Mus musculus: one gene and its partner. The protein of the gene in region 1 purifies or fractionates together with the protein of each later gene. This does not show direct contact. Links are inferred from orthologs where the notes say so. Each region holds a gene or a part of one and is shown on either strand. Other genes may lie near its edges.

What was found.
Region 2: the proteins of Strap (region 1) and Snrnp70 purify together in Homo sapiens (affinity purification with mass spectrometry; 3 studies listed by BioGRID and IntAct, with this or other methods). This does not show direct contact. The link is inferred for Mus musculus from reciprocal best matches to the Homo sapiens genes STRAP and SNRNP70.

The regions. Positions count from the first base shown.
Region 1 is NC_000072.6:137,733,843-137,738,098, forward strand, and holds the start of Strap (serine-threonine kinase receptor-associated protein), read left to right. Parts: upstream 1-1,239; 5' UTR 1,240-1,512; coding exon 1,513-1,624; intron 1,625-2,487; coding exon 2,488-2,623; intron 2,624-4,256. UniProt on the Homo sapiens protein: The SMN complex catalyzes the assembly of small nuclear ribonucleoproteins (snRNPs), the building blocks of the spliceosome, and thereby plays an important role in the splicing of cellular pre-mRNAs.
Region 2 is NC_000073.6:45,375,719-45,378,821, reverse strand, and holds the end of Snrnp70 (U1 small nuclear ribonucleoprotein 70 kDa), read left to right. Parts: exon of another isoform or gene 1-13; intron 14-1,378; coding exon 1,379-1,466; intron 1,467-1,543; coding exon 1,544-2,225; 3' UTR 2,226-2,368; downstream 2,369-3,103. UniProt on the Homo sapiens protein: Component of the spliceosomal U1 snRNP, which is essential for recognition of the pre-mRNA 5' splice-site and the subsequent assembly of the spliceosome. SNRNP70 binds to the loop I region of U1-snRNA.

The DNA of each region.
Region 1 (4,256 bases):
GCATGTGTGGTAGGCAGAAGTCAGTCTTAGGAGCCCCAGGAGCCATTCACTGTTAGGTTCCAGGCTGATACAAGAGGCTTTCAGAAAGGGGAAAGGGGATACCAACTCTATGCCTTTGACCAGGGTCAGACATAGCAAAGTCTGGAACCAGGCCCCCCAGAGTTAAGATTTCAGTCTGTGAGAACGTGACTTTTCCTCCTAAAGAGACTGGAGTAGTCAGTCCCAGGCCAGTGTGTGCTTGGTCTGTGGCACACATGAAGTATTCTGTGTTCCTTTTGTGCAACACTGCTTGGTTAGCTTTCTGATGACTTCGTCCCACTGTATGATAGGTTTTTCTGTTCCATTTTCCCCATACAAACAGTATATAAGATGCTGTACATCTTAATAAATTAGCTTAGCATAAGACATAGTTTTAGGGAAAACCTCCTGACCCCAACTTTCCTGTCTTCTTTATTTCTGATCCGTTCGGTCCCTCCTCTCAGGAGCCTCTCAGTGAAGAATGGCTCACTGGTCCAGATGCATCTACACTCTTTTGTTTTTGAGATGTTTTTCACTCATACTTGGAACTCACTGATTGCTATGCTGGCTGGCAGGGATTGGTATCTTTTCAGTGCTGCATTCCAAGCATGTATCACACCATGTATAGCTTTTTTTTTTTTTTTGTCGGTACTGGGTATCACACTTCATGCTTACATGGCAAGAACTTTAGCCCAGTAGACTGGGGTCTCTCCCTCCCCAGCCGCAGTGATAGTTGCTAGAGCCACTGAAAGAGCCCTTATCAGTTAGGTTGTCACGGATCCTTGCTGAGCACTAAGTGAATATTTCCCACTTGCAAATAAGCATTTGCTGGCCATCCACTAAACGCCAGTCACTTATCTGTCACCAGGATATAAATGTTGTTAGCATAACCACTCTATTAGGGAAGTCATTACTGTTTGTGAGTTGTGACGGTGTATGCCGGGAGGGGGGTGGGAAGGAGAGCGACAGAATGGTTGCTACTGGGTAGGCAGTTAGATGTGAGATGATTATGGAAAAGTGTGTCTGTAGCTTAGCAATGAGAAGGTTACAACTCTACAACAGCATCCTACAAGGGACGGACTCGGCGGCTCCCAACACTGGGTAGCAACGGGACGCCGCGCGCTTGACGTCGTCAGAGCAGCATGGGTTCGGTCTCCGAGCTCGCGCCTGCGCACACTGCTTCTCGCGCTGCTGCTGGGAACTACCGCCTTCCCGCCAGTCGTCACTTCCGGCTGACGCGACGCGTCGGGCGACGTCACGTCCTGCCGCTACCGGTAGGGACCGTGAGTGGCGGCAGGCCGGCTCTCCGGCGCTCCCCTCCCCTCCTCCCTCCCTCCCTGTCCCTCCCTTGGCGGCCGCGAGTCGCGGGGACTCTGGAGCCGGCCTCCTTCGGCGTGAGTGCGGGGGCCTCAAGCAGCCTGAGGCGCCGCGGCAGAGAAGGAGGACGACCGCGACCCTCGGTCCCCGCTCCGCGTCACCGCGCTCGCCGCCGCCATGGCCATGAGGCAGACGCCGCTCACTTGCTCGGGCCACACGCGGCCCGTGGTGGATTTGGCCTTCAGCGGCATCACGCCTTACGGCTACTTTCTGATCAGCGCTTGCAAAGGTGAGCTGAGCCCGCGACGGCCGCGGCTCCCGAGTGCCGACGGGTGGGTGGGTCGTGGCTGCCAGCGACAGCCATCGCGCTGCTGGGACTAGAGGGTCGCCCCTGGCCGGGCTTTATGCGTCCCTCCTCCCCACCGTTGTTAGTGCTCCCCAACACCTCGCCTTTCTACCCACACAACTACATTGTGTTTGCCAAGGATTTACGGGAAGAAGAAATTAGGCCAGGCCGAGAGGAGTGCCCTTTATGTCCTCTCACTCATTGTTTCATCCTTTGTGGTGTGAGCCTCATTTTTTTTTTTCCCCGACGAAAGTGTACGTTAGGTTTATGTGGTCCAAAGTAAAAAGCGGCTATCTAGATCGTTTTGACACCGCATGTCACTGGCATCCAGCCCACGGTTTTTCAGAAGTTTTTATTTATGTGTGCCTGTGTTGTCTCTATGCATGCTTGTACCTGTGTGAAGGGGTGCCCCAAGAGGAAGGCATCAGATTGTCCAGAGCCGGAGTTAGAGGCTGTTGTCAGCCTCCGTGTGGGCGCTGGGAATCGGAATCAGGTCTTGTGGAAGAGCGTTTCCCAGGTCTTTATAGTTGCTTTGTAATCCGAGTTTGCAAAGGTGATGAGGGAGGCCTCTCATTCGGTCCCAAAATTGCTTATGCTTCCCAGGAAGAGTGGCTACAACTCCTTAGTCCCTAGGTCACTGAGACCATATGCACAGACCAGGATGGGGACACCCTCCCCCACGCCCCCACGGCTTAATGGGAGTAGGGGGGAGCAGTCAGAACAACGGTTTTCCAGTAGTTTGCTGCTCAGGATTTGGTATTACGTTGCATGCTTCTAAATCACAGATGTCTGAAAATATTTTCTAGATGGCAAGCCCATGCTCCGCCAGGGAGATACAGGAGACTGGATTGGAACATTTTTGGGTCATAAAGGTGCTGTTTGGGGTGCAACATTGAATAAGGATGCCACCAAAGCTGCGACAGCAGCTGCAGACTTCACAGCGTAAGTGTAACAAAAATGGCTAACTTCATTCTGTTTGAATTTTGTGGTGACATGGCCAGATTCTCCAACTTCACAGTTAGACATGAGGTTCTGACTCCGAGGATGCTATAGACAGTACATGGTGTTTGATCTCACCACGATTCTGTCCTGGCTCTCTGAGCATCCTTGTGACTTGAGATGTTTCAAGGACTGATGTCTCTCTCATCGAGACCAGGAACGTGGTGAGCTATACAGCTTGGACAATGGGTGCTGCTGATGTCCTTCACAGATAGTCTTGAACACTTAGTGAGTGCTATACAGTGATGTCTCCAGGCACCTTTTCACTCAGCTTTATTACTGGCTCTAGATAATCTAAAACCGGACCTCAAATTTACTTTCTGTTTTCTATGGTTTTAAAGATGGCTGTCTGAAAGATTCTTAATTTTCATTAGATCCTCATTTTCTTAGTTGGGTTTTATTATTGTGAAGGTACAACATGACCAAGGTAAAGGTAACTCTTAGAGATTTAGCTGGGGCTGGCTTCCAGTTTCAGAGTTCAGGTCATTATCATCATAGTGGGAAGCATGGCAGCATGCAGGCAGAATTGGTGCTGGAAGAGCCAAAATGATCAGAAGGCAGCCAAGAGACTGTCTTTAGCAGGCAGGAGGGTGGTCTGGATCACACTGGCCAGGCTTGAGTTTTGGAACACACACACACACACACACACACACACACACACACACACACACATACAGAGTCTTCAGTCACTGTAGTAATGGATACATCGTCTCATCTCAGTTCACTTTGTCTTTTGATACAGTCTGAGATGGACTAAACCATTGCCATAATACACTTTCCCTGTTTTTACTTTGGGTTTTGCATCTATTATCAAACTGACATGATTCTCTTTAATCATTGAGGCATGTGTCATATTTTATATACTTTTTGATGTATAGTTACTAACCTGTGTGTGCTTTTAAATCAATGCAGGTAACTTTAATTTACTCTTGTGTGTGTGTGGGTTTGTGTGGAGGAAGTCAAGACAATTTTGGGGGTATGGGTTGAGGGCTCTGGTTCAGGTTGTCAGCTTGTGTGCCTACAAAAGCATCTTGATGGCCCAAAGGCAGTGTTAAGAGCTGCTGTATATGCTAGTAGACCAGAGCCTAGAGAGTGAAAATGGCCTTATTGATTCCTTGTTTAAAAGAATTTCACACTTTGGAGCAGTTGTCAATGTGTTGCCATCTTTTTTTTTTTGTTTTTTGTTTTTTGTTTTTTGTTTTTTTTTTTTGAGACAGGGTTTCTCTGTATAGCCTTGGCTGTCCTGGAACTCACTTTGTAGACCAGGCTGGCCTCGAACTCAGAAATCTGCCTGCCTCTGCCTCCCGAGTGTTGGGATTAAAGGCGTGCGCCACCACGCCCGGCTTGTGTTGCCATCTTTGATTTAAGCAAATTAAAAATAAATGGTTGTTGGATGTGGCAGCACATGCCTCTTTAATCCCTTTAAGCATTTGGGAGGTGGAGGCAGGAGGATCTCAAATTCGAGACTAGTCTGGGGATGCATCAGCTCCAAGCCAGGACTATACAGAGAGATCCTGCCAAAAAGGAAACAAAACAAAACAAAAGCAGAAATAAAGAAAATAATTATTGAAGAAAG
Region 2 (3,103 bases), on another chromosome or scaffold:
GGATGAAAACAAAAACATGTTCTTATAATATTTCTGTGGGTTTTTTTGGTTTTTTCGAGATAGGGTTTCTCTATGTAGCCTGGCTGTCCTGGAACTCACTCTGTAGACCAGGCTGGCCTCAGAAATCTGCCTGCCTCTGCCTCCCGAGTGCTGGGATTAAAGGCGTGCGCCACCACTGCGCAGCTGTTTCCTGTTTTTTTTGTTTGTTTGTTTTGTTTTGTTTTTTTTAAGCAACCCAAATTACAGAACTCTTACTATAGACATTTTCTTGTATTGATAATGGCCTAGCTCATTGTTAGACTGTGATCCAGCAGCTGGAAGTCTGGGTCCTGCTTTGCAGTAGTCCAACCTGTTATCTATACCTAGTTTAACAGCCTAGCATGTGGCTGACCTCTTCGCTTTGCCTGTGCTCCTGTGTGAAACACAGCCCCACCTCACTAAACCTTCAGGTGGATGGTGCAGGAAACCACCACAGGCAGATGGGATTCTGAGACATGACCCTCCTTGCCAAGTCACTGGGGCAAGTGGCTCATTAGTAGATCCCTGTCTGAAAGATAAGACTGTCACCTGCTCCCTTGTGCTATTGGTTGGGTGAAAATCACCTTTATAGACCACGTATTGAATCTGCAAGTTTGAAGTATTCGTGGCACATCAGAATCTGGGGAGGTGTGGTAGTGCTTTCTTTGAACAGTTGGGGAGGTACTGATGGCCTCTAACAGTTCGTTGGAGCGTGCTATAGTGTGATGAGCAGGGCAGGGTCTGAGTTGGTGCTTTGAGACTGACAGGGAAGTAGAAGGTACAGAGACAAGGAAGGTGAGCTCACTCCTCAGAAGGTAAATGTTACATGGCTAAGGTGGGGAGCACGAGGCAGCTGAGAAGGCTGGAAATGTAGTGTACCCTGGGAATCTAGGTGTGGCAGGTGTTCCAACTTCTGGGTTTGTTTTGTTTCGTCTCACCACGTAGTGGCTGACCTGAAGCTCACTGTGGGCCAGGCTGCCTCTGCTCCAAAGTATGAGATTAAAGGGGTACAATCCCAAACCTAGCTTCTTTCAGCTTTTCTATGAGTTCACACTTTGGACTTTATGCTCAAAGTACAAATTGGTAGTGGACTAGCCTAAATAAAACCTCAAGCCTCAGGTAAGATGGACAGCTTGGGAGTCAAGAAGGTTCTTGTTGGGGTGTCCTCAGCTCTAGCACTTTGTAAAAGTCTTGTGGATAACATGGCTATCCTACAACCAGTGGACATGGAAGTGATTGGCAGGAGATTATGCCCCATGGCAGTTAGTAGGGGTGCTTGTTTTTTTGTCAGCTGCATAGGCCCCTTTAAGATTTTCCCCTTTGTACTGTTTCCACTGACCTTGTGTTCCTTTGCCCGTAGGAGGTGGCCTTGGTGGTACCAGAAGAGGTGGGGCAGATGTGAATATCAGGCATTCGGGCCGAGATGACACTTCCCGATATGATGAGAGGTAAGATTGGGCATCTGGTTTCTTGGGATAGGGCAGTCACAAGGGGTGCCCTGCCACACAGTGCTAACCTCATATAGGCCGGGCCCCTCCCCGCTTCCACACAGAGACCGGGACCGGGACCGCGAGCGGGAGCGCAGAGAAAGAAGCCGAGAACGAGACAAGGAGAGAGAAAGGAGACGCTCCCGCTCTCGGGACCGGAGGAGGCGCTCCCGGAGTCGAGACAAGGATGAGCGGCGACGGTCCAGGGAGCGTAGCAAGGACAAGGACCGAGACCGAAAGCGACGAAGCAGTCGGAGCCGGGAGCGAGCACGCAGGGAACGGGAGCGAAAAGAGGAGCTTCGAGGTGGAGGAGGTGGTGGCGGTGGTGGCAGTGGTGGTGGTGGCGGCGGCGACATGGCTGAACCCTCTGAAGCTGGTGATGGAGCTCCTGATGATGGGCCTCCTGGAGAGCTTGGCCCTGAAGGCCCTGATGGCCCAGAGGAGAAGGGCCGGGATCGAGACCGGGAGAGGCGACGTAGTCACCGGAGTGAGAGGGAACGTCGTCGGGACCGAGACCGTGATCGGGATCGAGAGCACAAGCGTGGGGAGCGGGGCAGTGAGCGGGGCAGGGATGAGGCCCGGGGTGGGGGTGGCAGCGGTCAGGACAATGGGCTGGAAGGGCTAGGTAGTGATGGTCGAGACATGTACATGGAGGCAGAGGGTGGTGATGGGTACATGGCCCCAGAGAATGGATATCTGATGGAGGCAGCGCCCGAATGAAGAGGCCTGTAGTGGACATGCTCCTAATCTTGCTGTCTGCCTTCCTAGCCTTTTCCACCTTGGCTTGCCTCTGAGGGTAGATTTTTTTTTTTAATCCGGTCCCTTGGATTTAAAAATAAAATTAATTTTCTGTTGATAGTGGGCATGTGATGTCTTACTGCACTTGCTGTCTTTCCAAAAGGCCACTTCCTACTGCTCAACTCCCTTTGGTATACTGCACGTGTTATAACCTGAAGTAGAGGCTGTTCTCCCAGGCACTGTAGCTGCTTTACAAGTGAGAGGGAAGCCCTGGCTCTCATAACAGGCTGCATCTTTAAGTGAGAGAACAGCAGGCAAAGAGGCAGGATGCCAGCCATCAGCAGTTGGTACCCACACATTTCTGGATGGAAGGCAGCTGGGAGAGCTTTGAGTATGGTGGGCCCTGAGGAAGCTGGGGCCAGCCTGGCACAGTCCTGAAGAAAGGCTGAAGGTAGTCCCATTGAGGGCTGAATGATAGTACTCCAATCTGCTGCTTAAGGCTTATAAGTCTTTACATATAACCAAGGACAGATACCACCAGAGAGCTGAGAAGCATCTACATCATGAGAGCACAGATAGCTGGTCCTGAAAGGGAACTTCACTCATTCCTGTGTTTGCCACATTTGCAGGTAGGCTTATGGTTTTACTAAGAGCATCTTGCTGTAGAAATCTTGGGGCAATGAAAACTTGTGACAGGCATTAGAGACAGGAATTGATGTTTAACATTGCCTTCATGTGCCACATTTGACATCTGTCTCAAACTGCTAGTGTCATTTGGATAGATTTTAAGAGGTAGGACTGGGAGGAAATAGCTCATTAGGGGATGGTTATGGGGTGGGGTTGTGCTGTTTCTTCTCATC